Astyanax mexicanus: one gene and its partners. The protein of the gene in region 1 purifies or fractionates together with the protein of each later gene. This does not show direct contact. Links are inferred from orthologs where the notes say so. Each region holds a gene or a part of one and is shown in the gene's direction. Other genes may lie near its edges.

Region 1 (7,253 bases):
GAGAAACTAGCTAGTCTTTATTGATATAGGACTATCTAACAGTAAGTGTGTAATAAATTAATGAAGTGTCTGTGCTCCTGTCTCTGCAGGTATTTGTGGATACAGTGGGTCCAGCAGAAAAGTACGAGGAGAAGCTGTCTAAACGTTTTCCTGGAATAAAAGTTACAGTGCGACCCAAAGCAGACTCTCTCTTCCCCATAGTCAGTGCAGCCAGTATCTGTGCCAAGGTGAGTGTGGAGCAAGTAAAGCATGAAAATGAAGTTCAGCACAAGTTAGAGACAGGTGCAATGTGTCCTCTGCTTTTAACCCATTCATACAGCGGAAACACAAATACTCACCAGTAAACTCACAACTATACATACACTGTACGTTTTACAGATTCATACTGGATTAAAATTACTGCACTAGAATTGCTGTGAGACTGTAGAACTGTACTGCATAATCATACTGGATCATAATCACTCCAGCTGTTTCTGTTTCTGTGAATTCTGCACATTCTGCAGATTCATACTGGATCAGAATCACTACAGTTGACTGGTAACAGGTAAAATGTACTAAATAAAAATGTTGTAAAAATACAATGAAATATTGAGATATTATGCTTTTTTTGCTGTTTGTAGTAAATGGAAAATTCACACTGTTCTCCCATTAAATGTCTACTAGACACAGATTATATCTATCATGGATATATGGAGTGCATTATTAGTATCATCACGTTTTTTCGTTGACTTTGACTGTTACAATCTGGTGAAAATCCCAATTATGGGTGTGCCGTTTCATATTGTCTTCTACAATATCTCCAAATAAACGTTAATATGAATTTTGTTGCAGTAGTTAAGTATTTAAATTCTTTTTTTTTAAATTGAATGTTTGGTCATTTTGCCTAGAATATTATAAAAAAAATATTCTGAAATAATGCAATATTAGGGCTGTCAACGTTAAAGGGTTAACGCGCGCTGTTAATTTGGAATCAGTAATGCGTTACTATTTTTTTAACGCAAATTAGTTAAGGCACCAAGTTTGACCCCTACTTCTGCCGTAATTTACCCCCCCCCCTCTCTCTCTCTCTCTCTCTCTCTCTCTCTCTCTCTCTCTCTCTCTCTCTCTCTCTCTCTCTCTCTCTCTCTCTCTCTCTCTCTCTCTCTCTCTCTCTCTCTCTCTCTCTCTCACACACACACACACACACACACACACACACACACACACACACACACACACACACACACACACACACACACACACACACACTTTCCTGCCCTGCTCCTCATCCCTGCATTCTTTATTTCATCACCCTGCGTTGATTTTGTCTCCTCTCAAATATACAATATATAATTGACGCCACTAATAAACAGTAATTGCATTTTACTTTTCTTGCAGTCATTCTTTTATTTACATTTAAATATAAATATATCCACTAGAAAAATTTGCATCTGAAAGTAAAACAAATGTGATTAATTGCAGTTAATCACAGAATTTTGTAGTGATTTAATCAGATAAAAATATACTATATGATATTATTATTATTATTATTTTTTTTTTTTTTATATATAAATAGTAGTCACTAATGTTTGTGGGAATCTCTGACAGGTGGCCAGAGATCGAGTAGTGAAAGACTGGAAGTTTGCAGAAGATCTCGGGGAGGTGGACACGGAGTACGGTTCAGGATACCCTAACGGTCAGCACTCGCACCACTTCATTCACCTTACTCTAAACTAACTAGGAACACATGAGACTATATTATTTTATTACAACGGTCAGCATCGTTAATATGGTTATTTGTAATCATGCAGAACTTGCAGTGATGCGTCCGTGTTGTGTTAATGTGTTTGTGTGTGTTCAGATCCAAAGACTAAGAGCTGGATGCTGAAGTATCTGGATCCAGTGTTTGGATATCCTCAGTTTGTGCGGTTCAGCTGGAGCACAGCACAGACACTAATGGACAGTAAAGCAGTTACAGTACACTGGTGAGTTCACCATCAGGGGGCAGTGCTTAGCAGCCTGGGGAGAATGACTAGAAAGCAAGACTGGCATTAGAGTAGATAAATTATTCAGAAGCTCCTTACAAGTGATGGACAGTGATAATTTTTTTTTTTTTTTTTTTTTTTTTAAGATTCTGATGGTTTTGTGGTATATCACTGTATTATTTTATTTTTGTTTACTGTGCAATTCACAACCTCCTGTATTAAGATAATTTTCCTCCATGCAGGCCCTGAGGAAACACCTTTTAGTTTTTTTGTATTTAATTCAATATCCTTCTAAAATACTTATTTTAAAAAATATAATTTTTATTTTTCAAATGTACAAAATGTATTTAAAAAAAAAACTTTTGTTCTTTTTCGAATGTACAAAAATGTTTTTAGCAAAGTGTGTTAAAAACAGCTGTATGTAATGTAGCAGTTAACTTTTTAGAAAGTAAATTAAATTACTACTATTCATTTTACAAATTAAAGTGAAATTGGAACACGCAAAAAATTGTAGTACAGAATATTAAAATATATTTTTATATGCAACAAAGAATACTAGAAGTGTGCTACTTACAAAGACAGGACCAAGAAGCATATTTGTTCTCTAATGTAAATAGATCACATACATATTTAACATACAATACATAAAGTAGTATGTTTAAATGTTACCCAAGTATATTTAAAAGTTTCATTTTAGTACAGTTAAGTACACTTGGCACAATTTAAGTAAGAAATTTGTACTGTTTTTCTACAATTAACGCATAATAAGTACAAAAACCACACATGCGTAAAAAAAAAAGTTTATTAATATTTGTGTGTGTGTTTGTGTGTGTGTGTGTGTGTGTGTGTGTAGGGATGACGACGAGGAAGATGGTGAGAAAGCAGCAGCTCGCCAAAACAACACCTCCATGCTGTCGTACTTCGGCCGCAACAAACCAGCCGGCCAGACACAAACTCGGGAGACGCATCGCTTCTTTACTGAGCGCCGATTACAGACCGTCGACACACTCTGAGCACACACACACACACACACTAACACACACACTCGGAGTAGATTTCCAGAGCTAGTTCTGCAGCTTCAGCACTAAAGTCCAGTGTCTGCTGGAATTGTCATGTTGTATTTTATGCATATTTTCTTAATATCAAAGTAATAAAAATGCATATTTTATACAGTACAAACGTGTGTTGATGTGATTATTGTCTATAATTTGCCTTTAAGTTTGTATATTATTTCATCATTAAACTAATAATTAAAATCACATTATTGCAAGTGTTTGTTTAATGAAATGGTAGTATGTAAGTTATTATTGTCTGAATCTAATAACCTATGCATTTAATTTCTTTGGTTTCTAATCCAAAGATGGTTACAAAACTCATGTAATATTTAAAAAGCATGTTTCAAGAAAGTCTTTATTTTAAAGAAATGGTTGACTGCATGTTCAAATAATTGATATTTATGACAAAAAAAAGCTCCTGTTACTGGCACTCACTCCTGTTCCTGGAACTCGCTCCTGTTACTGGCACTCACTATTATTTTTATGTTTTGAGTAACAGGAATGAGTTCGCATTCCTTAGCTTTGAGAATTAGCAAAAACATGAAAAATAGCTAAATGGCTTCTGTGTTAATAGCATGCGGACACTGAGCACATGATGTCACTTCCTATTTTAGATGTGACTTGTTGTTGTTAACTTGTTTCAGATGGGGTAATGTTTTACGGTAACAGAAATGAGTGAAACCCCAGGGACACAACTAAAATGTGTATTTTAACTTAAATATTATGGATTTATTATGAAAAAAAAAAATAAAGCATAGATGGGATTTGGAGTCACATAATGCAAACAATGTACATCTCTGAAGAATTTTATATATATTTTTATGGTAAAGTTTATAGTTAGAGAGGAGGGTACAGGTAACAAATGCTATTTTTTAGTGTTCTAAGTAGTGTTTTTAATTATTTAAAATTACATACCATAAATTTGCATTTAGGACACTGTACAATACACTATGCTTAATAATAAAATGTATTTTATGTGCACATTGTAATTTCCTGGGGACAGAAATTTGGTGAAATGGCTCAATTAAATTTACTATAAATCTTTCCTTGTGGTCAAATGAAGGGTCGGCGGAAATATACAATATATATACCAACAGTCTCTTCAAATATATAACAAAAAAAGTTCTAAAAGAGCAAGAAATTGGATGTTTTTGATCATAGACCTTAGAGACCACCATACTTATATACAGTCTATGGTAATTACTCGTTCCTCCGGATCAGCAGGTGGCGCCACACTAACGCCGTTCGGCGTAAACTTGAGCAGAGAAGAGAAGCGCTTTCCGGCGGTAAGTTACAGCGGTGTGGACTGACTGAACGGCGCACATTCATCCAAACTGTGAGTTATTTACAGTTAAACTGTTATTTAACATAGCGAGAAACATTACAGCGATTTAATTTAATTTATCAAGCGCTTAAAACAGCAGAGTAGCGTTTAATTTACTTTAATTAGCTGTTTATTTAGGTAGTTAGCCTAGCTAAGCTAACAGCTAACTGCCCTGTGTGTCCTGTGTAGCTCTATACCCCAGCTCTGCTCTGTTTACTCAACTAGACTACTTTACTGATTTATTTATTTTAATTTCTCTGCAGGAAAATCCTTCTTCAGCTTTAATAAGATGGATATAAGACCCAACCACACCATCTATATCAACAATGTCAACGACAAGATCAAGAAAGAGGGTGAGTCTCAGTTTTAAGAGCTTTATTTTCTCTCTGAATAATTCTGAATAAACTGTGTTGGATGAAGAACCCAGTTAATAAATAATGTAACTGCTTGAGTTGCAGTAGAGATACCCAGGGTTAATTATCACTTCATTAAAAACAGGAAAACTTGAGTAGAAGTACTAAAATACAGTACCAGCCAAAAGTTTGGTTCTTATTCAGTGTGGTTTCTTTCTCTTTATGACTTTTTACAGTGTAAATTGAATATTGAAGGCGATATTAAAGCTATTCAGGAACACATGCTGAATAATTCTGTAAATAAAAAAAAGTGTTAAACAAACCAGAATCGGTTTTATACTTTAAATTCTTCTAATTAACAACATTTTGCTTTGAGGACAGATCTGCACACTTTGGTTGTCTCCAGAAACCCCCCAAAATACTCCTTTTTCCCTCTGATCCTTCTCCATTCCTCCATGACCCAGAAAACTGATTTTGTAGCACCATCTTGCCACCTGGAGAAGATGAAAAAGCCGCTTAAAATCATCCTCAAAGTGACTTTCAACAGCGACTACACTACAGTAGGGGTGGGCAATATGGCCCTAAAATAAATAATAAAAAATATTTTTTTAAAATACACCATACACTGCAAGAAAATAAAAACATATATTTTATTATTACATACAATATAATACTGTACACCCCTAAGTAAGATATTAAAAAATACAAGAATTTTATCAGATTTGTAACTTATGTCAATGATCCAGAATGTCATGATACTAATAGTAATGCACTCCAAATATCTCCATATATCCAGGGTTAAATAAAATTAAGTAAAATAAATGATACTGGACAGAAATAATCTGTCTCTAGCAGATATATAATGGGAAATGGGATGGGTGATATGGCACGATATTTTAGGGTATAATATCAATCACGATATTAAAAATGTTTTACGATATTATCGTGTACGATACGATATGGCACACCCCTACACCACAGTATAATACCCAGGAAATGTTTTAAAGTTTGACCATGCCCACAAAGCACCTGAGCACACATTTTTATTCAAATTAATTACTTAATACATTTTTAATCAATTTCTTTTTTGACTTGACACTTACATGACTCGAACATATAATCACTTATTATGAACAAATAAAAAAAAGAGATAAGTAAAATGGAATAAATAAACAACACAAGGCTTTCACCTTTATTTGATTGGCAAGAATTTCACGTTATTTCAGAAATGTATTTTCTCTGCAACAAACAGAAGTTGTGGTTGGCTTGGCAGTATTAGGGGAGCTGAAAGTGAGTGTTGTGATTGGCTCAGTTTATCAGTAGTCAATAGTCAATCTGAAGTAGAGTCACCTGGAATAGTTTTCTCAGCGTCTTGAAGGAAGGAGTTCCTGGAGGTGCTGAACAATAGCTGCGGCTTTTCCTTCATTCTGTGAAGCTCCAGCTCATCCCAATTAAATCACCTCAAATCACCATCTCAGTTAATCAGGTTTAGATCAGGAGATTAATGTGAAGAACAAAGCAAATCTTTTTTTTTTTTATGTATTTTTTATTTTTTTCTGTTTACTACATAATTTCACTTTCTCTTTCTACAACGTGTATTTAATCATTAGACTGGTACTGTATTTTAGTTGTGAAATTAGGGTTGGATGATATGGCAAAAATCTATGTCACGATATATGTCTTAGTTTCGGTCGATACACTACAATTCCAACATTGATATAAGCAGTTTACTACCCTTGGTGATAGAGATGAGTGATATGGTAAAAAATGTTCTTTTACAATACTTTACAGACATTTTCACAGTACACAGGATTTATCATATTTACACGCAGATAAAATACATTTTCTATTTAAGGACTCTCGTGAACAGTATAGTGATTTTTGTTAATTTACTGCTTCACATATAATCCTGTTTAACAGGATATTTTTCACTCTGTAATAAAAAAAAATATTTTTTTAAATTTAAATAAAATTGATATTGTCTGACATTTACATATTTGCAAATTTGCACTGCTAAATTATACATATTTATATACCTGCGTTCTTGCACTGTTTATACAGTGCCCTCCATAATTATTGGCACCCCTGGTTAAGATGTGTTCTTTAGCTTCTCATAAATTGAGTTTTGTTCAAAATAATATAGGACCACGATGGGAAAAAAGAGTAAAATACAACCTTTAACTCAAGTGAATTTATTCAGTAGGAAAAAAATCCCACATTAAGAAATAATTATTTAACATCAAATCATGTGTGCCACAATTATTAGCACCCCTGATGTTAATACTTTGTACAACCCCCTTTTGCCAACAAAACAGCACCTAATCTTCTCCTGTAATGTTTCACAAGATGGGAGAATACAGAAAGAGGGATCTTTGACCATTCCTCTTTGCACATTCTCTCTAAATCATCCAACGACCTGGGTCCTCTCCTCTGCACTCTCCTCTTCAGCTCACCCCACAGGTTTTCAATGGGGTTGAGGTCTGGGGACTGAGATGGCCATGGGAGGAGCTTGATTCTGTGTGCGGTGAACCATTTCTGTGTAGATTTGGCCACATGT
Region 2 (7,165 bases), on another chromosome or scaffold:
GGCCGCCCGCCCGCCTTAATGACTTTGTTTGCGATTGATTGTAAAAAAAAAAAATGTTCTGTTGTACACGGGGTTTGTGTTGGGTTGGTGGGGTCGCCGGGACGGCTGACCCTTGGGAGGGGGGCTATGTGGCGGCTCTGGGTTGTGTGTGTGGCTGCCTGCAGGTATGTTTCTGTTCTCCTGTGTGCGAGGATGACAGGGGTGGGGCATCTCCCTTGGGAGGGGTTATGCAGAGAGGGTGGGCACCACTCTGGATGTGCCATCTGGGAGACACACAGCTGGGTTGGTGGCCTTTGGGCTATTTAAGCTCTGTGGGTTAATGGTTTTAGCTCTCCTAGTCTTGTTAGAGGCTGTAAGTGAGTGGCAAGCCTGTTCAATAAAGAAGCTGTTGAGCATTCAGCATGAGTCTCACGGGTCTTCCTTCCTCTTCCACGCCACAATACTTTTTTCACCTGACACATTTTGACACATTAAGAACAGCAGCAACCCAGTGTACAGAGCCTAAATTAATTGGAACAACTACAGTATTATATCTCCACCAGTTTCTTTCAGGATTTGGGGCATCTGGCAGAATATCAATTTTCTCACAATATAAACTGCAAAGCTGTTGACTTGCAAATGTAGATGGACACATCAGCACTTTTTGATCTGTTGCTTTGTCTTTTAAAAGGGCAAGGTAAGCATCTATAATTCTGTCATTTAGCCATCTTACACTTGTGATTAACTCTAAATCCTCTTTAAGTAAGTTTTTTGGAAGATCATCATGGTTTTGCCAAAATACATCTGAATGTTTATAAGGGGTGGTTTTCTCACATTGCTCTGTACATTTATGTTTTGTCTCCTGCAGTTTTAAATTCTGTATATCTATACAATTTTCTAACTCTAAAGCAACTATAACTGATTTTGATTGGGATACCATTTTATTAATTAAGGTAGAGCTATAATTTATATGGTTAACACCATTGACAGTCCAGCCACTGTTTCCTGCTTTGAAAAGTTTAGCAAAAGGGGGGGTTTCATAGTGAGAGAGAATGGCGCCAATTTTGTAAACATTATCACTGAACACTGAAGACAACATTATTTTTTGATCTAGCTTAATATTGCACTGGTCTGATAATACAATTAGTGTTTTAGGGCAATGAATGGTCTCGTTTTTATTAATTGACACTGAATCTTTGTTTCCACATTTCTTACACTTAATTTGGGAAAATGATTTTAGTGAAACCTCAAGTCCTTCAGATGTAATCTCGTTTGCTGGTAACAAAAGGATTTTATTGCTTCTGTTATATGCCCACCCTGTATTCATATCATTTAATGGTATATAACTATTTATCGCCTATAGTGTGATGACTCTTACATCTACAATTACGCTTTTTTCATAGATAACTCCATGTTTTCTGACAGAGGAGGGTCTGATGAATTAATTTCACTATGGGTTTATGTTGACACAATGTATAGTTTAGGCTGGAGACTGATACAACTATGCCCACCCTGTATTCATATCATTTAATAGGATATAACCATGTATCGCCTATAGTATAAGTGACCCCTACATCTACAATTACGCTTTTTTGATAGTAAACTCCATGTTTTCTGACAGAGGAGGGTTTGATGAATTAATTTCACTATGGGTTTATGCTGACACAATGTATAGTTTAGGCTGCAGACTGGTACAACTATGCCTATTCTGTATTAATATCATTTAATGGTATATAACCATTTATCGCCTATAGTGTGATGACTCCTACATCTACAATTACGCTTTTTTGATAGTAAACTCCATGTTTTCTGACAGAGGAGGGTCTGCTGAATTAATTTCACTATGGGTTTATGTTGACACAATGTATAGTTTAGGCTGCAGACTGATACAACTATGCCCACCCTGTATTCATATCATTTAATAGGATATAACCATTTATCGCCTATAGTATAAGTGACCCCTACATCTACAATTACGCTTTTTTGATATTAAACTCCATGTTTTCTGACAGAGGAGGGTCTGCTGAATTAATTTCACTATGGGTTTATGTTGACACAATGTATAGTTTAGGCAGCAGACTGATACAACTATGCCCACCCTGTATTCATATCATTTAATGGGATATAACCATGTATCGCCTATAGTGTGATGACTCCTACATCTACAATTACGCTTTTTTCATAGATAACTCCATGTTTTCTGACAGAGGAGGGTCTGATGAATTAATTTCACTATGGGTTTATGTTGACACAATGTATAGTTTAGGCTGCAGACTGATACAACTATGCCCTTTCTGTATTAAGATAATTTAATGGCATGTATCGCCTATAGTATAAGTGACTCCTACGTCTACAATTACGCTTTTTTCATAGATAACTCCATGTTTTCTGACAGAGGAGGGTTTGATGAATTAATTTCACTATGGGTTTATGCTGACACAATGTATAGTTTAGACAGCAGACTGATACAACTATGCCTATTCTGTATTAATATCATTTAATGGTATATAACCATTTATCGCCTATAGTGTGATGACTCCTACATCTACAATTACGCTTTTTTGATAGTAAACTCCATGTTTTCTGACAGAGGAGGGTCTGCTGAATTAATTTCACTATGGGTTTATGTTGACACAATGTATAGTTTAGGCTGCAGACTGATACAACTATGCCCACCCTGTATTCATATCATTTAATGGGATATAACCATGTATCTCCTATAGTGTGATGACTCCTACATCTACAATTACGCTTTTTTGATAGAAAACTACATGTTTTCTGACAGAGGAGGGTCTGCTGAATTAATTTCACTATGGGTTTATGTTGACACAATGTATAGTTTAGGCTGCAGACTGATACAACTATGCCCTTTCTGTATTAAGATAATTTAATGGCATGTATCGCCTATAGTATAAGTGACTCCTACGTCTACAATTACGCTTTTTTCATAGATAACTCCATGTTTTCTGACAGAGGAGGGTCTGATGAATTAATTTCACTATGGGTTTATGCTGACACAATGTATAGTTTAGGCAGCAGACTGATACAACTATGCCCACCCTGTATTCATATCATTTAATGGGATATAACCATGTATCGCCTATAGTGTGATGACTCCTTCATCTACAATTACGCTTTTTTCATAGATAACTCCATGTTTTCTGACAGAGGAGGGTCTGATGAATTAATTTCACTATGGGTTTATGTTGACACAATGTATAGTTTAGGCTGCAGACTGATACAACTATGCCCTTTCTGTATTAAGATAATTTAATGGCATGTATCGCCTATAGTATAAGTGACACCTACGTCTACAATTACGCTTTTTTCATAGATAACTCCATGTTTTCTGACAGAGGAGGGTTTGATGAATTAATTTCACTATGGGTTTATGCTGACACAATGTATAGTTTAGGCTGCAGACTGATACAACTATGCCCACCCTGTATTCATATCATTTAATGGGATATAACCATGTATCGCCTATAGTGTGATGACTCCTACATCTACAATTACGCTTTTTTGATAGTAAACTCCATGTTTTCTGACAGAGGAGGGTCTGCTGAATTAATTTCACTATGGGTTTATGTTGACGCAATGTATAGTTTAGGCTGCAGACTGATATTGATTATTATTATTATTATTATCATTATTATTATTATTATTATTATTATTATTATTATTATTATTATAGATCGGTTTGTAAGAACCATGTCAGTGCTTTCACAGTTGTAAAAAAGATAACAACCATACCTCTTACTGCCATCTAGGGGTAAATGTCTCTTCTGACCCAGCATGTGTAAATATGGAATATATGGTTGAGGTATAAAAAATGTTTTATACTGTTTTGCCAAATTCTCTCCCTGATTCATTTCACACTAATATTACTGTTTAAAGTTAAGGCTAGTGTTTAAATAATAGTTTTAAATCACTCAAATTTGTAACAGAAATGGTTACATATAAACCAGAGACGTCACTAAAGCAATGGATAACCCTCCAGATCGGTAAAACTATATTTAATTGTGTAATATATTCAAAAGCTTCATTGCTTTTATTTTGAAATGGAAACTCAGGAGGAGCACGAAAAACGAAACACTTCCGGGTATAATTCGTTGCTTATTTGTTTTTTTTTGTGTTGTTTTTTTTTCCTTTATTCGTTGCTTATTGTTGCTCACTTAACGCAGCTGCATTCGTGTATGTGTCGGCTACACGGAAGTGCGTCATCGTGCGCCTGAAGTCAGTGCGTAGTGTGGGAGTTGGTGAGGAGCTCGCTGAGAGTTCAGAGTATCTGTTTAGTTCAGTGTAAAAGCGGAACATTAATCAGGATTTTCGATCATGGCGATGCAAGCAGCGAAACGCGCGAACGTAAGTCTTGTTTATTTATTTCGTTTCCCTGTATTTACTCTTTAAACCGAGGCCCGGTGTGAGCAGGCCTCTTTGTATCGAGGAAGCCGTTAGCCTGTTGGAGCTAAAGCCACAGCAGAGTTTCACACTCATCACACACACTAAAACACACTGTATAGACTCCGTCTTACTGTACAACACTAGTGAATGATCAGGTCCTCATTCAGCTCAAACGGGCTAGAACTGTATTAAAGACTATGGGGTAAGAAACACTAACCAACCTAGCTTAGCTTAGCCGCTCGCCCTGACCGAGACAGTTAGCTAACACGGTATCTAAGCTAACCAAGCTAGCTGGCTAGATAAACACTCGCTCTTGTTTGGGGAGTTTTCATTCACGCGGTTTAAACTAGTAAAACTTTGTAGCGTTAGTTAGCTGAACGTAGATAAAAACACGACCAACTTACAGGCTGGCTAAGCTAACTAGCTAGTGTGTTTTGTCTTCTAATCATGCTGGACATTTCCTACAGTATCTAGCTGGCTTTTTATCCACAACTGCGGAGCTTCTTTCTCGTTAATAGAAAACCCAAATAGCACCACTAAACACTCGTGTACTTTACAAAACCAAGTTTAAATAAGAAACCTCAGTCGGTTCTGATGAAGTGTTAATGTGAGCGTTCTCTTTTAAAGCTGTTATTAATATAGGAGAGTGAAATTTCTCAATGTCTGGTCTAAAGTCCCAAATCTTTCAACAGTGTGACAAATCCCATGTTTTATTGTAACGTGTGAAAATCAAGACTTTTAATGTTGTTATTGAAACTGAGCATTAAGCAGAACATCTTTGTTTTGTTTTTTTCTCCCAGATTCGCTTGCCTCCGGAGGTGAATAGGATATTGTACATACGTAACCTTCCTTATAAAATCACAGCAGAAGAAATGTATGACATATTTGGAAAATACGGCCCCATCCGGCAAATCAGAGTGTAAGTACTGATCAATGTCCTATTTTTTTTAGTTAGCAGGCCAATTGTTTATTTGGTATACGGAGCCATTTGGACTAAAGGGTTGATGATTAACTGATGTGTTGAATCAGAGATGTTGAATCACGTGTTTGAGCAGACTAAGCACTAAACTGAGTAGGATTCTGGCTGTTCAGGACCAGTTGTGCACCCCAGATTTAAATGATCTTATATGAGAAGACTAATGTGAGTAGTTAACATAATTGTTACAATAAATTATCTATACTTTGCAGCACCTTTTTTCTACTTCACTCTCATGACATTACATGCCGTTTGCCTGTTTTGCTGCTTCTTACATCAATGCTTCGTTGTTTAGTTCAAAATATCCATAGCTAGTTTGTAGAGACTAGGATCAAGAAATACTTAAAGCTTGATGATGTTTAAAGAACATTAAACATTAACCCTAGATGATTATTTTAAAGATTAGTTTAAGAAGTCTTTGAAAAGATGAGTCTTTAGTTGGCGTTTAAAGATCATGAGTGACTCTGCTACACAAATACAGTCATAAAACTACAATGACTACACACAGAACTAGATTTCAGATTCTGTTACGAATGTATAATTCTCTGTTTAGATTTAGAATTTTTTGACAAACAATTGCAAAAACTGAGTGAGGGGAAATCGCTATTTCTGCAAATATAAAACCTGCTTAGGGGGGCACAATGTGATAAAGTTACAAGGTAGTAGAAGTATTGGATAAGTATGAGACTGGTGCTTTGCTCCGACTCCAGTGGATAATAATGAAGAATCTTTGTGTTTTACACATATTTTCTGCCCAGGAAATGATGTGCCAACATGGTACTTTGTCAGATATATATTTTTATGTTTACTTGTGTTCTAACAGTGCCCCCTGCTGAAGAAATGTCAGATTGCAACAAACTAAATCTGAATCGATCTGAATTGTTAAAAGCCCCATCTAGACAGGATTTGTTTCTCAGGGGGTCCTCTGTGATATTTTATACCCGTCCGGAAAGACCATGTTTGTGTTTTCCTCAGACGTCTTCTGAGAAAATTACAGGCTGAACTACCTACTGTTTGTCACTGAACTCTGTGGTCGTCCGGTAATTTTAGTCCCATCCGGATGGACATCTCTTGAGTTTTGTCACCTCACATTTAATAAAATGGCTATTTGTTCACTGCCACGCACTGTAATTACAATTTGGGTGCGCGTTTCCTTGGAGATCCATGTAAACACAACAATGAGTGGGAATGGAGGAGCTACTGAACGCGATGTCATGTGACCGAGAAAGCAAAAAAAAAAAAAAAACCCTCACTGGTCCCCTTTTTTCCATTGCAGTCCGGATGCAAGAGTTTATTACTGAGTAGAAGTGTGAAATATTTTTCACAGACGTCCTCCTAAGAAACTAATCCCATCCAGAAAGGGCTAAAGAAATGTTTCTATGTTGCTAGCTGTCATAATATTTCCCTACAGTGTATTAGCTCCTCCCACACATAAGCTTTTGCACTCCATATTATTACCTTGAAAATGCTGTATGTACTGTGATCAGTTTTACCACAACTTGGCTTAATTCCTGTCTGTGAAACCAAGCCCTAGTATTTAAATATAGCGGTATGATGTAGAAAACGAGAGTTTAATGTGTACAAAAAAAACAAATAAGCAAGCAAAGCAAAATAATTAACATACATTTGAAATGCAAGACAAATCTTGTTTTATGTCCCACTCAAGAAAAAGACAATTTGCAGAGAGTCAACTCTCTGGCACTGCAAATTAAAAAGTTTTTATTTACAGGTGTTTTTTAAAAAAGAAAATTCATTGGAAAGTTACTCATATTATATAGATGTATTATATAGTGATCTATTTAAAAA
Region 3 (6,849 bases), on another chromosome or scaffold:
CAGTATTATTTAGTAAATAACATGAAATGTTAAATATGTTAAATACAGATCTGGAAAAAATAAGAGATCACTTCAGTTTCTAAATCAGTTTCTCTGATTGTGCTATTTATAGGTTTATGTTTGAGTAAAATGAACATTGTTGTTTTATTCTATAAACTAAGGATTCATGCATCTTAGCATGTTCTCCTCCACCAGTCTTACACACTGCTTTTTGATAACTTTATGCCACTCCTGGTGCAAAAATTCAAGCAGTTCAGTTTGGTTTGATGGCTTGTGATCATCCATATTCTCTTGATTATATTACAGAGATTTTCAATTTGGTAAAATCTAAAAAAAATCATAATTTTTAAGGGGTCTCTTATTTTTTCCAGAGCTGTACATCACTATTGTATAGCTCTGAAAAAACCTTGTATCTCTCACAGACACTTTGTAAAAAAGGGAACTGTGCAATATCTATATTTCCTCTATTGCAAATACATGTATATACGCAATCAAAATAGCTATGCTTTGTTTTCTATAGAACTGAGAGTTTATTCACCTGCAAAACTTTTAGCTTCTTCTGTTGGAATGGTGCGCTGCATATCCAGGTCACTCTTGTTGCCCACCAGCATGACCACCATGTGTGGATCTGCATGGTCATATAGTTCCTTTAGCCATCGCTCTACATACTCGTATGTGAGGTGCTTGGTAATGTCGTAAACCAGGAGTGCCCCCACTGCTCCCCTGTAATACCTATACATACAAAATATTACAGCTTTACACCTACGCTAAAGCATGTGGTGCTGGAGCAGAAATAAATAAAGTGTCTTGCTTGTGAGACCACAATAGATTACTACCAAAGAGCCTGTTCAGATCTTAATTCCAGGTAACTAAATCATAGTGTAAAGTTATTTAGTCTTATGATGCATTATGATAGAGAAAACGTACAACTAAAGACCCAGTGGTAGATTACTACCTATAGTACCTATAGTGTCACTGCTGTAAAACTATGTTAGACTACTGTGCAACATGTTAGATTACCAAAGACCTGGTGTTATTACTGAGAAATAACATGTTAGATTACTGAGAACCTATAGTTATTGCTGTAAACCTACGGTATATTACTAAGAACCTAGAGTTGGATTACTGGAGATAAAATGTTACATGTTAAATTACTGAGGACCTAGTGTTTTGGAGATCTAGATTATTACTGAGTTTTAATGTCAGTCCCTTTATAGCCTAATGTAGGTTAAATTGTTATTAATGCCAGGACAGCAAGTACAAATATATAAATGGTATTTACGTAAAAAAAGATTGTGTAGACTTTATTGTGTAGTGTTTATACTCTTTATGAATACATGTTTGCAAGTGTGTATTTTTTGGGTAATATACTGACAAACTGTCAGGAATTATTTGCAAATGAAATGTTTACAGTCATTATATCACAAGCAATATTGCAATGCTGGGCATTCAATCTAGATAAAGAGATAAATGAATGAATGAATGAATGAATAATGTTATTATGTTATAAGAGTTTGGACCTGTTGGCATGTTTGCAGTTAGTTAGTTACATTTTTAGTTAATAAAACATATTTTTTGTACACACAGTTTGCTTCAGAGATTGCTTAGACAGTCCAATTTATTTATTTTCTAAGATTGAGAGGAAATGTGCCTTTTGTGACCGTTGTGTACTTACGCTGATGTGATGGCCCGGTACCGCTCCAGCCCAGCTGTGTCCCAAATCTGTGCTTTGATGGTCACTGTGTCCAGCTGAATAGTACGCGTACTGAATTCCACTCCAATGGTGGTGCGACTGTCATGATTAAACTCATTTTTGGTGAATCTGGACAGCAGATTGCTCTTTCCCACCCCAGATTCCCCAATTAACACCACTAAAGAGTGAGAGAGAGAAAGAAGAAATTAATTATAAAAACAATATTTATGGATAATCACAATTGCAATTTCTTTAAACTGAAAAGTGTTCAAATGTAGCATTTATTTTAAAGACAATAAAAGAAAATCCAAAAGAGGAAAACCCCATCCCTTAGGTAATAATAGTAAACTAAACATAAACCCAAAATAAACTAACAAAACAAATCTTTAAACTAAAAGCAGTGATGCAGTTCTGGATAAAATATTTAGAGTTCAAGCTCAGAATCAGCTGTCTTACCTTTAAAAACAAAGTTGTAGCCTAAATCTGTCCCCATTTGTACTATTCACAGTAAACTAATGTTAGTTATCAGTGCCTGTAAATGTATAGAATCTCCAGGCTGGTTAAACCATCAGTTTTCTGGTCACAGGTTATATTCCATACTAGCAGTGGCTTCCTTGAGTTCCAAAACTTAGATAGTGGAGCAGCTGGAGAAACAGGTTAAACCAGCCGCCACACAATGTCTATGGGAGTGACAAAATCACATCCATTCAGCCCTTGCTCTGTTTTTATCAGTACATGTAGGTGTGTCCTCAGACTGTATAATTACCCACTGAAAAGTTAGAGGTACACTAGGTTCATCACAATATTGAACATAAATATTAATTGTATAATGTAATTCACCACAGGTTGATGCACATGCAAATCTAGATGTTTCTATAAACTGCATTGCAGTCTACAGAGAAGTGAGAACTATTTATTTATTTTGTGTAGATTTTTTTTAGCCAAGGGGGCTAAGGTTGTAATAGAGGGCTCTAGAGGTAAGTTGTGAATTATGAAACTGACATAAAATTAAAAACAATTCTATAAAGAGACACTTTTGACCAAAGTTGGCATTTGGTAAAAAAAAAAATATCTGTCCACTAATAAAAGGTTCAGATCAAGCTAAGATACAAGCAATAGTATTTGCAATCACAGGTCAAATGTGAATTTGTTCTTATTTTTTTATTACCTTGAAGGCTGATTTTTTTTTTTTTGAGTGTGTCTTTCGAAAAAAAAAAAAAAACTTTGACAGTGCAGTTGCTCAGTTAAAAGCATGGTTACTATTACTGTCACATGCTCTTTGGATGTGGACTGCTTTAGCACTGGATCTAATGAGGGTGTAAGAAAAATCTTTAGGGCAGGTTTGGCCTCTAAACTGCTGCCATTTACTCTGGCTATGTAATCTCAGTGTTTACTGTGTGTGTTTGCTTGGTAGTGTGTATGAGTGTGTTTACTGATTGTTATATATAAAGGCCACATTCCCAGACTTCCCAAGTTGCAAAAATTTATTTCAGGAAGGTACCCCCGGACCTGGACTTGGAACATATACATATATAGTCGTATTTACTCACCTCAACATGCCTATCATTTAGTCCCCTGTGGGCAATGCTAATGCATTCCATCTGTGTTACAGTTTCATTTACACAGGCAAAATACTAATTTAATAAACTTTGATTTAAGTAAAAGTAACTATATTTAGCCCTTTGAACCAAAGCTTGAGACATCAAAAAAAATGAAATATATATATATATATATATATATATATATATATATATATATATATATATATATATATATATATATATATATATATAACTGTATATAAACAAATATATGTGTCTTTTTTATTATAATAAAAATGCTGTATTTTTTCCTAGCAGGCAATATAATAATATAATTAGCTGCTTAAAAAGAAATAATTTTACGAAATGGCAGATTTTACTAATGTGCATTGTGTATAATAAAATATAAACTTAATTCTCACTGTTTGCAGCAGCCATGTTTATTGCAGCACTGTAAAAATATTATATTTATTAAAGCTTTTGTTTACTAAAATTTATTTTTGTGTATGTCTGTCAGAAAGTCCTGTTCGTGTGGTGAAACTATTTATTGTAATTATATTTAGTAAATTATTTTAAAACGATGAACATCTATAAAGTAAAAGGACTTTTAAACGTGTTAGCAGCGGAAGAGGATCACCCGCAAACTTCCGTTTTTCCGCCAGCGCGTCGTTCATCATGGCGGCGGGTCCGATATCAGAAAGAAACCAGGGTAAGAAAATGAATAAAAAACTCTTACTGATGTTAGAGATCTTATTAAATATCGGTCTGAATGTGTTTTAATAGATACAGGACACGCGTTCTTTACTGACTGCTGGGTTCTGTCTCTGAGTGATGATCACACTCTCGGAGCTCGTGCTCTTTATGTCACAGTGCAGCTCTTTACTCACTCTTAAACAGACTAACGTTAACCAGGTAAAGTTGTATACTGTAAAGTATACTGATGAGAATGGAAATAAAAATAAATAGAAATGGAAATGTGTAACTCTGTGGTTATATAGCCATACGGGTTCTGGTTTATTTTATTAACCGCTAGATCTGCTGGATGGTTCTCGGGAAAGCTTAGCAGTTCATTCATTGATTCTTCGCTAAAGCTAGCTAATGCTAACGCTGTGTTTTGTTTCCGTGCAAACTATTTAACGTTAGTTAAATATTTAACTTAGCAAACAAATGATCAGATTTTTTTGGGTTATTTGATTTGTCTCTTCAGTGCATTACTTTAAAATAGAACTTCTGAAAGAAGCCAGTTTAAGCTCATAGTTACAATCCATTCATTAATGTAAATAATATATTTTTTCTAAACAAGTGGTTTTCCTGTTTTTTGTTGTCATAGATGCTACGGTATATGTAGGCGGTCTGGATGAAAAGGTTTCGGAGCCGCTGTTGTGGGAACTCTTCCTGCAAGCTGGACCAGTGGTCAACACACACATGCCCAAAGACAGAGTCACAGGGCAACATCAGGGTGAGTACAGCACTCTGACACACAGCTTGTGGGTTGCACAAAAAATGTCAAACACTACACCAGACTGATGCGTGGCTGCCAAAAAATTGATTATGTAGTAAATAATTAGTGGTAGGTGGTATTTTAATCACTCCCAAAAGAAATTGCTGCTTAACAGGGCACAGTAAGCAGCAAACAGACTAGGTTTTTCTTTTACGAATTGTATTACTGCCATATTGTCTATATATGTTTTACAGCTGTAGAAGTAATTCACCCAAGTGTCAGCACATTAATTTAATTATATGGTTGTCTTTTGGGAAAGTTGTACTTGAACATTACAATTTAACTACATTAAAAAGCATGTTTATTGCTTCAAGTCAAAATATATTCTTTACAAAGACAGTGACATATTAACCATGTATTGCATTATTATAATGATTTATGTGCATTTTTATAATTATTAATTATATTAGTATATGAGTGTATTGCAGTGAGTGATTTAAGGAGCTCCACACTGCTCCACTCCAAAATGCTTAATGCTGGTGCATTCTCATTGTCTTATTCATTATTCTCTCTCTTTTTTTTTTTTTTTTTTTTTGCTTTGTGCCTAATAAATTATAAAATATCTGCATTCCTATTATTGTGAACTTCTTTCACAACCATCCCAAACTGAAAGGCATCTGTCCAAAACTTGAATGTATTTGTGTAATTTTCTACAGCCATGTCATCAGTTGTTTGAAATTTATTAACAGTACGCCTCTCCTGGTGTTACCAACAAGCTGATTGGTTCTATGTTGAAAGGTGTGACTTTATCTATAAATCTGTTCTAAGCTTTAGGAAAACTTCCAGTCATATTTCAACCAGCAAGTGGTCTCCCGATTAACTGTTTATAACCATTTATAAAGTGCAAACATTTGCTCTCCTGAATAATTTTTAGTGCCATCCTGTGCACTATTTTTTGGAAGGTGTTGTTCTGGAGCTAATATTCATGTGTGGTCTAACCACACATTTAACCTGCATATGCAAATGATGTCAAACTTGTTCATTTACATGTTCTGTGATATATTCAATAGGTTATGGCTTTGTGGAGTTCCTCAGTGAGGAAGATGCTGATTATGCCATAAAGATCATGAACATGATCAAGCTGTATGGTAAACCAATACGAGTCAACAAAGCTTCAGCACACAACAAGAACTTAGACGTGGGTGCCAACATCTTCATCGGGAACTTGGACCCCGAAATCGACGAGAAGCTGCTTTATGATACTTTCAGTGCTTTCGGCGTCATCCTTCAGACACCCAAGATTATGCGTGACCCGGACACAGGCAACTCCAAGGGTTACGCTTTTATCAACTTTGCCAGTTTTGATGCCTCTGATGCTGCAATTGAAGCCATGAATGGCCAGTACCTCTGTAATCGACCCATCACAGTCTCTTACGCCTTTAAGAAGGATTCCAAAGGTGAGAGGCACGGCTCAGCAGCCGAGCGTCTCCTGGCTGCACAGAACCCTCTCTCGCAGGCTGATAGGCCACATCAGCTGTTTGCAGATGCCCCGCCCCCTCCCACTGCACCTACGCCTGTAATGACCACACTGGGAGCAGCCATTCCCATTCCAGGTCAGTTATTACTTGGATTTCTAATATATATTTTTCTTAATTTATGAACAAATGAGTTATGTGATACAAATTGCAGCACTGCACCTTGGGTTCGGTGTAATGGGTATAAAAGGTATGGAGGGTGGGGATGGTAGGGCAAGAATGAGAAAATGGGAAATAGAGATATCGGTGGGAGTGGGTGTGTATGGATTGATGTTTGACTTATCAGTAGAAATTCTGTAAAGGATTTCAGTGGAAAAAAAAATAATAATAATAATTCTGATCTGATCCTGTAACATCTTTATGTTAAGCACACACCTGCACTGATACAGGGATGTTGTGGGGATTAAAAACCTTATGAAAGTAGATCTGATTGTTTGTTCTCTTTCTCTAACTCCTTATTTAACTCATGCAGGCATGCCTCCTCCTGGCGCATTCCCCCCTGTGCCACCCCCAGGCTCAATGCCACCTGGAATGCCCCCTGGCATGCCCATGCCCCTTGCTCCAGGGACACCTTCCCCTCAGGGCGGTGCTACAGGACCTCCCCCAGGACCACCGCCCTTCCCACCTGCTGGAATGCAC
Region 4 (7,480 bases), on another chromosome or scaffold:
ACGTCAGAGTAGATTTATTTGTGCACATTGATTTTACTGTTATTCAACACTGATTCAAATGTCATGGTTTTATATGTATGGTTTGTATTAAACTTTACTTACATGAAATACATACATGTTGTTTTTCCATCATCAACATTAAAAGATGTAATGCATCCAACAAATAACATTTAATATTCTCTGCTATCAGGGGAATGTAGGAGAGCCAAAACCACTCAAACCATTTAAATAAACGTTGATTCAATGTCAGATTGCAAAACTAACCAGTGAATATTAGGCCATGTTAAATAAAGTTGTTTTCCCCTCATCAACACTAGAAGATACAATAACTCAATGCAACTTAAAATGATGTTTAAATCAATGTTCTTTGCTACCACAAGAGTGTAGAAGAGCCTCACTAAAATCCCTAAAAACCTTTTAATAAAAGTTTATTCAATGGCATAATTTGAACACTAACTGGAGCCTATTAGGAAATGCTAATAAATGTGCTTTTTTCCCCCCCCATCACCATCAAGAAAATATGTAATACATCTAAATAATAAAGTTTATTTATGTTCTTTGCTATCATCAGAGTGTAGAAGAGCTCAGCCCAACCACTTAAAACCTTTAAATGAACGTTGATTCAATGTCAGACTTGCAAAACTAACCAGTGAATATTAGGCCATGTTAAATAAAGTTGTTTTCCCCTCATCAACACTAGGAGATACATGAACTCAATGCAACTTAAAATGATGTTTAATCAATGTTCTTTGCTACAACAAGAGTGTAGAAGAGCCCCACTAAAATCCCTAAAAACCTTTTAATAAAAGTTTATTCAATGGCATAATCTAAACACTAACTGGTGCCTATTAGGAAATGCTAAATGTGCCCCACCATCAATACAAGGTGTAATACATCCAAATAATAAAGGTTATTTATGTTCTTTGCTATCACCAGAGTGTAGAAGAGCTCAGCCCAACCACTTTAAACCTTTAAATGAACGTTGATTCAATGTCATATTCGCAACACAAACTAATGAATATATTAGGTAATGTTAAACAAAGGTTGGATAAGAGTTGTTTTTCAATCAACAACATTCAAAGTTGTAATGCAAAAAAAAACGTTTATTTAATGTTCTTGGCTATCAGGGTACTCACCGTTTACCCCGAAGATGTGGAGGGGGTACTCAGCCGCGGTGAAGATGAAGGTGAGGAGGAGGAGAGATGATGCCCGCATGTCCAGAAATACCAACACTGGGTCTGCCTGCCGGTGATTTACACATATTTTAGGAAATACACAGACTCCAGTCATCTGAAGCACGGCCTGTGACTACGACAGCTTCCTTTCCGTTCAGCAAAATAACATAAGTAGCCCGGTTTCACTTTCACTTAAACACACACACACACACACACACACACACACACACACACACACACACACTGCGCACACAAACACTGAGCACACACCGCAGAGCGTCCCAACACTTCGCGTGGGCTGGGGGTATAAATAACGCCGTGGGTCACAGTGGATCAGGGTAGCATATGGCGGTGCTGTACCGAGCTGTGTTCCTCAGGCAAAATTATATTTTCCACAGAGCTCCTTCAGTCCAGACCGGAGACGTCCCAGTCACTGATCCACCAACATCAGCGGGAAAGAGTAAAGTACACTATACACTGTACTTGTAACTTGTAACACTGTACTTGTACACTAACCTGCTGCTGGAGGTTACTTCACCATATGACTTCTCCACTGAACTAAGCTCCGCCCACTGGGGCTTCAACCCAATAACCAACCAACGCCACGCTAGTTTATATATATATATATATATATATATATATATATATATATATATATATATATATATATATATATATATATATATATTTAAATATCCTTACATGTTCAGAAAGTGCGGTTTGTGCATGTAGCAAATATACTGAATTTATACATAAACCTTGTGTAACAATATGTTAAAAATAAAATTGCTTTTAACAAAAACTTATAAACTTGTAAACTTTGATCTCATTTACCAATATATTTGAGATTTTTTGTGTTAGCATGACTCCCTTTCAATTATGGCTACTACCATTAGCATTACTACCACAGTGTTAGCATTACTACCACGCTTTTATCATCGCTAGCATCACTACCACAATGGGCACTATTTGCTGCGTAAAAAAAAAAAAATAATAATAATAATAATATACGTATATATATATATATATATATATATATATATATATATATATATATATATATATATATATATATATATATTATTTTTTTTTTATTTTTTTATTATTATATATATATTATATATATATATATATATATATATATATATATATGTATATATATATTCGTATATATACATTACATTTAATGTTATTTTAATTTTCTTCCCCGGATGCAAAATTATAAAAATTGAGAATAAAGTAAAGGTTGTCTTTTTTCGTTTTCCAAAAAAAAAAAAAAAGATTATTATTATTATTATTATTATTATTATTATTATTATAAATAATATTTGTCGTAAAAAGCACTGTTCGAAATCATCCAAAGGTCCAGGACACTTGTTGACATGCTTATCTCTGTTAATAGGTAAAAGGTTTCAGGCACTCTGCCTGAATTGTTTCACTTTTATTTTCATTATACTACTTGTTTATTTTTTAAACCCTGCCTGGCGGCTCTGTTCTTCTCGGTAATAGAGTGATTTACTGTATATCAGATGGGAGGGTGAGCTAGGCGTGACAGACCTTTATTGTTTCGGTTTGAGCCTCTACCACAGACATTCCCTGCTATCAATAAAGAAAAGGTTTTAAAAAATGTTATTGACATTGCTAATATTGTAAAGATTTGATTTATTATATTGTTATTTTCTGAATTTATATGGACAAACGTGTATGTCATCTAAACTAATCATTACAATTTATACTGTGTTTTTGAAAATCATTCGAGCATTGCCAAATAAACTATTGTAATACTTTATTATATAAGTATTTCCTTACACCCCTATTTGGTAGCCAAAATATTTCAATACACTAACAAAAAAGATCAAATCAAGTATGCGTATTCATGATATGCATCTATTTATGTTATGTATTAACATAGTCTAAGTTTAAATTTTACAAAAAAAAAGACATTTTGCCATTTCAAAAGGGGGCGTTTCTGTAGAACGACCCTTTTACATTGACTTTTATTTAAAGTTAGAAAGATTTCTCTACAGCTATATGACCCCATATTACCCGGATTGTTTAGGACAGGGCTATTAGAGGGATTTGGTAGCAATGGCTCCACCTTGTGATCGTCTTTAAAACACAAGCTCTGCTTAATTCTGCTTAAATCTACTTAAAATGACAGTACTTTTGGACTATTTAGCATATGTTATAAGACTTCAGACTACACAGAAATTATTATTGTCCTGCTTGATCACTTAATATTTTCATTTTTTGTCCTTTTATGGATGTGTCCATCTTGTTATGGCAAGCTGTACTATAGAGTGGACAATTACAGGGTGGAACATTTTAATGATTTTTTGACATTGTGTTTATGGGCTTATTATGGAGTAACATCTGGCTGTTATATTGCGTTCTTTAGAAACACAAGCCTCATATTAATAAACTACACAGAGATATATAGTAAATTCACAGCATCCAGCAGACTGTGCGGTTTAATGCCAATTTGGTCTGACTGACTAAAATTGACTGAAGGAAAGGCTGTTTTCTTACAGGTGGACAAAACCTGTGCTAAGACTTTTCTGCCCAGAGTTGTTGGGAAATCTGACTTATTATGGTTCCATCACCTGGCACAGACAGATAATAAGTCATTATTCTGACATAAGTCGTTATTTTGAGATAATAATTATTTTGACATTCTAAGGGGTTATTTAAAGATTATTTTTGCTGACTTAATATCTCAAAACAATGATTTAGCATTTTAAAATAATGACTTAGTTTCTTAAAATAATGGCTTAGTATTTTAGTTTTTTGCACAGTTAAAATAAATTTAAAAATCTGGATTTCACCTGGCAGTGTCTATACAGTATCCTTGTGGCAAACCTTCACTCCATAACTGTTCAAGTCTACACTACCACACCACACATAGTATCTTAATGACTTAGTATCTCAAAATAATGACTTTGTATCTTAAAATAATGGCACAGCATCGCAAAATAATGACATAGTGTCTCAAAATAATGATGTAGTTTCTTAAAATAATGACATTATCCCAAAATAATGACTAAGTATCTCAAAATAATGACTTAGTATCTTAGAACAATGACTTAGTATCTCAAATTAATGACTTATTATATCAAAATAATGTCTTAGTATCTCAGAGTAATGAGATAATATCTCAGAATAATGAGATATCAGTTTATAGTAGTAATGCTAGGTGCTGGGTTTGTGGTTGTGATAGGTGGGAGTGTGGACTGTGTTGTTGGATGATGCTGAGCTTCTGTGATTCTCACACTAGAGGGCAGCACTTCGTTTGGCCACTTTTGATGACGTCATTAGAAGCGACGAGGAGACGGCGCGTTAGCATGCTGTGCTAAATGTGGTGGAATATTGAGGTTTCTCGCTCCCGTTTGGAATTTAATCACAGGTATTTACTAAAAGATGGTCTAAAGTGCTTTTTAAACCATCAATACTATCAGTGCGTGGTAGGGTATTTTAGCTGTGGTCACAGTTAGCGCTGGGGCTGGCGTGGGAAATGGTAGCTAGCCAACCTGGCTAATGAAGCTTAGCCTGTGTTTTGTGTGTGCTTTTTGTGTTTAGAGACATTTCAGGCACATTTTATTTTTTGTTACATAGCATATGATCAGTTGAGATCATTTTAAGCTGTATAACACCTCAAACCTCTGCTAAAACCAGCCTGAATGTGTTTAGAAGACAAATAGCCAAACTGCATCGTTTTGTTGGGTCTATTCTGTGCACCAGTACTGTGGTTTTACAGTGGAGTTGGTGCACAAACTGATAACTGCATCGAATTCTATTTTCTGGATGCCTAAACTATGTGAATGTGCTTTAGAATTAACTTTGGTCTAATTTTAAGAGAGTAAAAAAATAACAAAATCGTCCAACCAAAATAAACCATTAACAACACACTGTTGTACAGTAGAGTAGCATACAATCAACTGTATCAGTGCCAAACTAATACCATTACATATATGGAATATTTCTGTCTGTCTGTCTCACTCTCTTCAAGTCTCTCTCTCTCTCTCTCTCTCTCTCTGTTTGTCTGTGTCTGTCTCTCTTTCTCTCTCCCTTTCTGTCTCTGTCTCTCCTTCTGCTTCTTTGTGTTTTTGCTCTCTCTCTCTCTCTCTCTCTCTCTCTCTCTCTCTCTCTCTCTCTCTCTCAGTCTCTCTTTGTCTCTCTGTGTGTCTCTCTATCTCTCTGTCTCGTTATTTCTCTGTCTGTTTCTTTCTCTGTCTGTCTCTGTGTCTCTTTCTATCTCTCTCTGTCTCTCTGTGTGCCTGTCTCTGTGTCTCTTTCTCTGTCTTTCTGTCTGTGTGTCTCTCTCTCTTTCTTTCTCTTTCTCTGATATTACAGCACTGATTAATTAGTATATACCGGTATACCTTCATCCACCTCAAAGCTTATCAGTTTCCTTAAAAATAGATTTCTGCTGGGATTTTCTTGTCAGCAGGACAAGAAGAGAAGTGTGTGCAAATTTAATAAGCACCAGAACAGGCTTTTTGTTACACACAGCTTCAGCATAAACTACAAGTACTCAGACATTAACTTTTATTTAAAAAATATGAACCTTTTAACAACTGTAGTGATCATTAACCAGTTTTGGTAATAACCAATTTTCCAAATCACTATTGGCAAAGCAGACAAGAACCAGTGCTTCCCTAATAAAAAAACAAGTTAATGAGTTCTTGTTCTTGTTTCATGAGTTATATCTGCAGGTAATGAAAGTAATGCAAACTGTTGATGTGTGGAAAATAAAATGAAACAAGTGTAACATTCTCTACATTCATTGTGTTGTGTGATCAGGTGAACCAATGTCTCTTTACGATGATTTGGGGGTCGCTACCAGTGACGCCAAGACTGAAGGATGGTCGAAGAACTTCAAACTGCTTCAGTCGCAGCTGAAAGTGAAAAAAGCTGCTCTGACACAAGCAAAGGTTTGCATTCTGTTTTTATAACATTAAACTGCAGATGTTCTGTGTTGTCTGTATTATGTAGTACCATTATATCTTTACTTAAACCTGAAATTGGCCTGGAAATAGATCTTTGTTTTCCCCCTTCGCAGACGCAGAGGATGAGACAATCCACTGTTTTGGCTCCAGTTGTTGATCTCAAGAGAGGAAGTGACGAGCGGCAGATTCCAGACACACCCCCACATGTAGCAGCAGGGCTGAAGGTGAGTGAAGAAAGCTGGAACAGTGTTCTCTGTATTGATGGAGGTCTGTCCAATACTTTTAGATGAGATAAGTTAGGGATTAAAATAATAATAATAATAATAATAAGAAGAAAATTATTGTAGAAATAATGTAGAATTTTTTTTCAAGATACTGAAGTAAATGCTATTTAGTATATGCATAAATATTGCAAAAATACAGAATATACTCTTAATGTTTCCCAAAAAATAATTATAGTATTTACATGATATAGAATTTAAAATCACAATGTTACTGCCACAATATATTGGGCATGGTATGGTATGGCTCACCACTATTATACAGTATGATACATTCTTTTGCAAATCTTAAGGCATTATAAGAACTGTTTAGTTGGGTAGCTTCTTTATAGCAGCTATTTTAAGTTTATATTTTTGTGTGTGACAGGACGTACCAGGTGGCTTTTCTGCAGGTGATGTCCTAATCCCGCTCCCGGATGAGTATGATCCCATGTTCCCAAATGACTATGAGAAAGTGGTGAAAAGACACAGGGAGGAACGTCAGAGGCAGAGGGAACAGGAGCGGCAGAAGGAGATCGAAGAGAGAGAGAAGTATGCACATTCCACACGTACCCTGTCTGTACACCAATGCCCTGCTGGTCCTGTTCACCTGGGTTTAGTTTTTTTTTTTTTTATGCTTTTTCAATAGACAGTGTGATTTGGTGTATTTATGATATGTTTGAGAAATTTATGAGTATTTTACCTCTTCAGTAACGCAGATGCCGTGAGGTGTTCAAGAGAATTGTCTTGTGATATATCAGATATCACGGAACCACAGTATTGGGATATCATTGTTATTGTGGTAATTGTAATTGTTTCGTGTGATGGCCTGAAATTCCTACTCCTATTACTATATTAGCCACTCTTTAAAGCCTCTTTAAAGAAATATTGTGCTGGTCATTTCGTACTGCCTGGTTTGAGTTTCAGTTGCCTCTCTTGTTTGTCGAAATAGGAAGCGAAAGGAGCGTCATGAAGGATCGGCCCCCAGTGGTTTCTCACGTTTCCCCACAGAGGCAGATTCAGATGAGGATGAGGAGTATGAGAAAGAGAAGAGGAAGAGGAGTGGGTGTCTTCTCAAACTATAACAAATTTTTTTTTT

What was found.
Region 2: the proteins of snrpb2 (region 1) and sf3b6 purify together in Homo sapiens (affinity purification with mass spectrometry; 4 studies listed by BioGRID and IntAct, with this or other methods). This does not show direct contact. The link is inferred for Astyanax mexicanus from reciprocal best matches to the Homo sapiens genes SNRPB2 and SF3B6.
Region 3: the proteins of snrpb2 (region 1) and sf3b4 purify together in Homo sapiens (affinity purification with mass spectrometry; 4 studies listed by BioGRID and IntAct, with this or other methods). This does not show direct contact. The link is inferred for Astyanax mexicanus from reciprocal best matches to the Homo sapiens genes SNRPB2 and SF3B4.
Region 4: the proteins of snrpb2 (region 1) and rbm17 purify together in Homo sapiens (affinity purification with mass spectrometry; 3 studies listed by BioGRID and IntAct, with this or other methods). This does not show direct contact. The link is inferred for Astyanax mexicanus from reciprocal best matches to the Homo sapiens genes SNRPB2 and RBM17.

What each region holds. Positions count from the first base shown.
Region 1 is NC_064428.1:32,565,038-32,572,290, reverse strand, and holds the start of snrpb2 (U2 small nuclear ribonucleoprotein B''), read left to right. Parts: upstream 1-4,249; 5' UTR 4,250-4,355; intron 4,356-4,606; 5' UTR 4,607-4,632; coding exon 4,633-4,696; intron 4,697-7,253. Other genes in the region: rnaseh2a (ribonuclease H2 subunit A), read left to right, coding at 90-227, 1,588-1,675, 1,841-1,964, 2,818-2,977. UniProt on the Homo sapiens protein: Involved in pre-mRNA splicing as component of the spliceosome. Associated with sn-RNP U2, where it contributes to the binding of stem loop IV of U2 snRNA.
Region 2 is NC_064408.1:59,524,610-59,531,774, reverse strand, and holds the start of sf3b6 (splicing factor 3B subunit 6), read left to right. Parts: upstream 1-4,153; 5' UTR 4,154-4,314; coding exon 4,315-4,344; intron 4,345-5,183; coding exon 5,184-5,302; intron 5,303-7,165.
Region 3 is NC_064410.1:32,707,350-32,714,198, forward strand, and holds the start of sf3b4 (splicing factor 3B subunit 4), read left to right. Parts: upstream 1-3,844; 5' UTR 3,845-3,909; coding exon 3,910-3,943; intron 3,944-4,564; coding exon 4,565-4,693; intron 4,694-5,745; coding exon 5,746-6,288; intron 6,289-6,682; coding exon 6,683-6,849. Other genes in the region: rab25a (ras-related protein Rab-25a), read right to left, coding at 539-732, 1,676-1,871, 2,150-2,186. UniProt on the Homo sapiens protein: Component of the 17S U2 SnRNP complex of the spliceosome, a large ribonucleoprotein complex that removes introns from transcribed pre-mRNAs.
Region 4 is NC_064409.1:20,777,495-20,784,974, forward strand, and holds the start of rbm17 (splicing factor 45), read left to right. Parts: upstream 1-4,452; 5' UTR 4,453-4,578; intron 4,579-5,975; 5' UTR 5,976-5,983; coding exon 5,984-6,106; intron 6,107-6,234; coding exon 6,235-6,345; intron 6,346-6,769; coding exon 6,770-6,933; intron 6,934-7,333; coding exon 7,334-7,443; intron 7,444-7,480. Other genes in the region: il15ra (interleukin-15 receptor subunit alpha), read right to left, coding at 1,137-1,290. UniProt on the Homo sapiens protein: Splice factor that binds to the single-stranded 3'AG at the exon/intron border and promotes its utilization in the second catalytic step. Involved in the regulation of alternative splicing and the utilization of cryptic splice sites.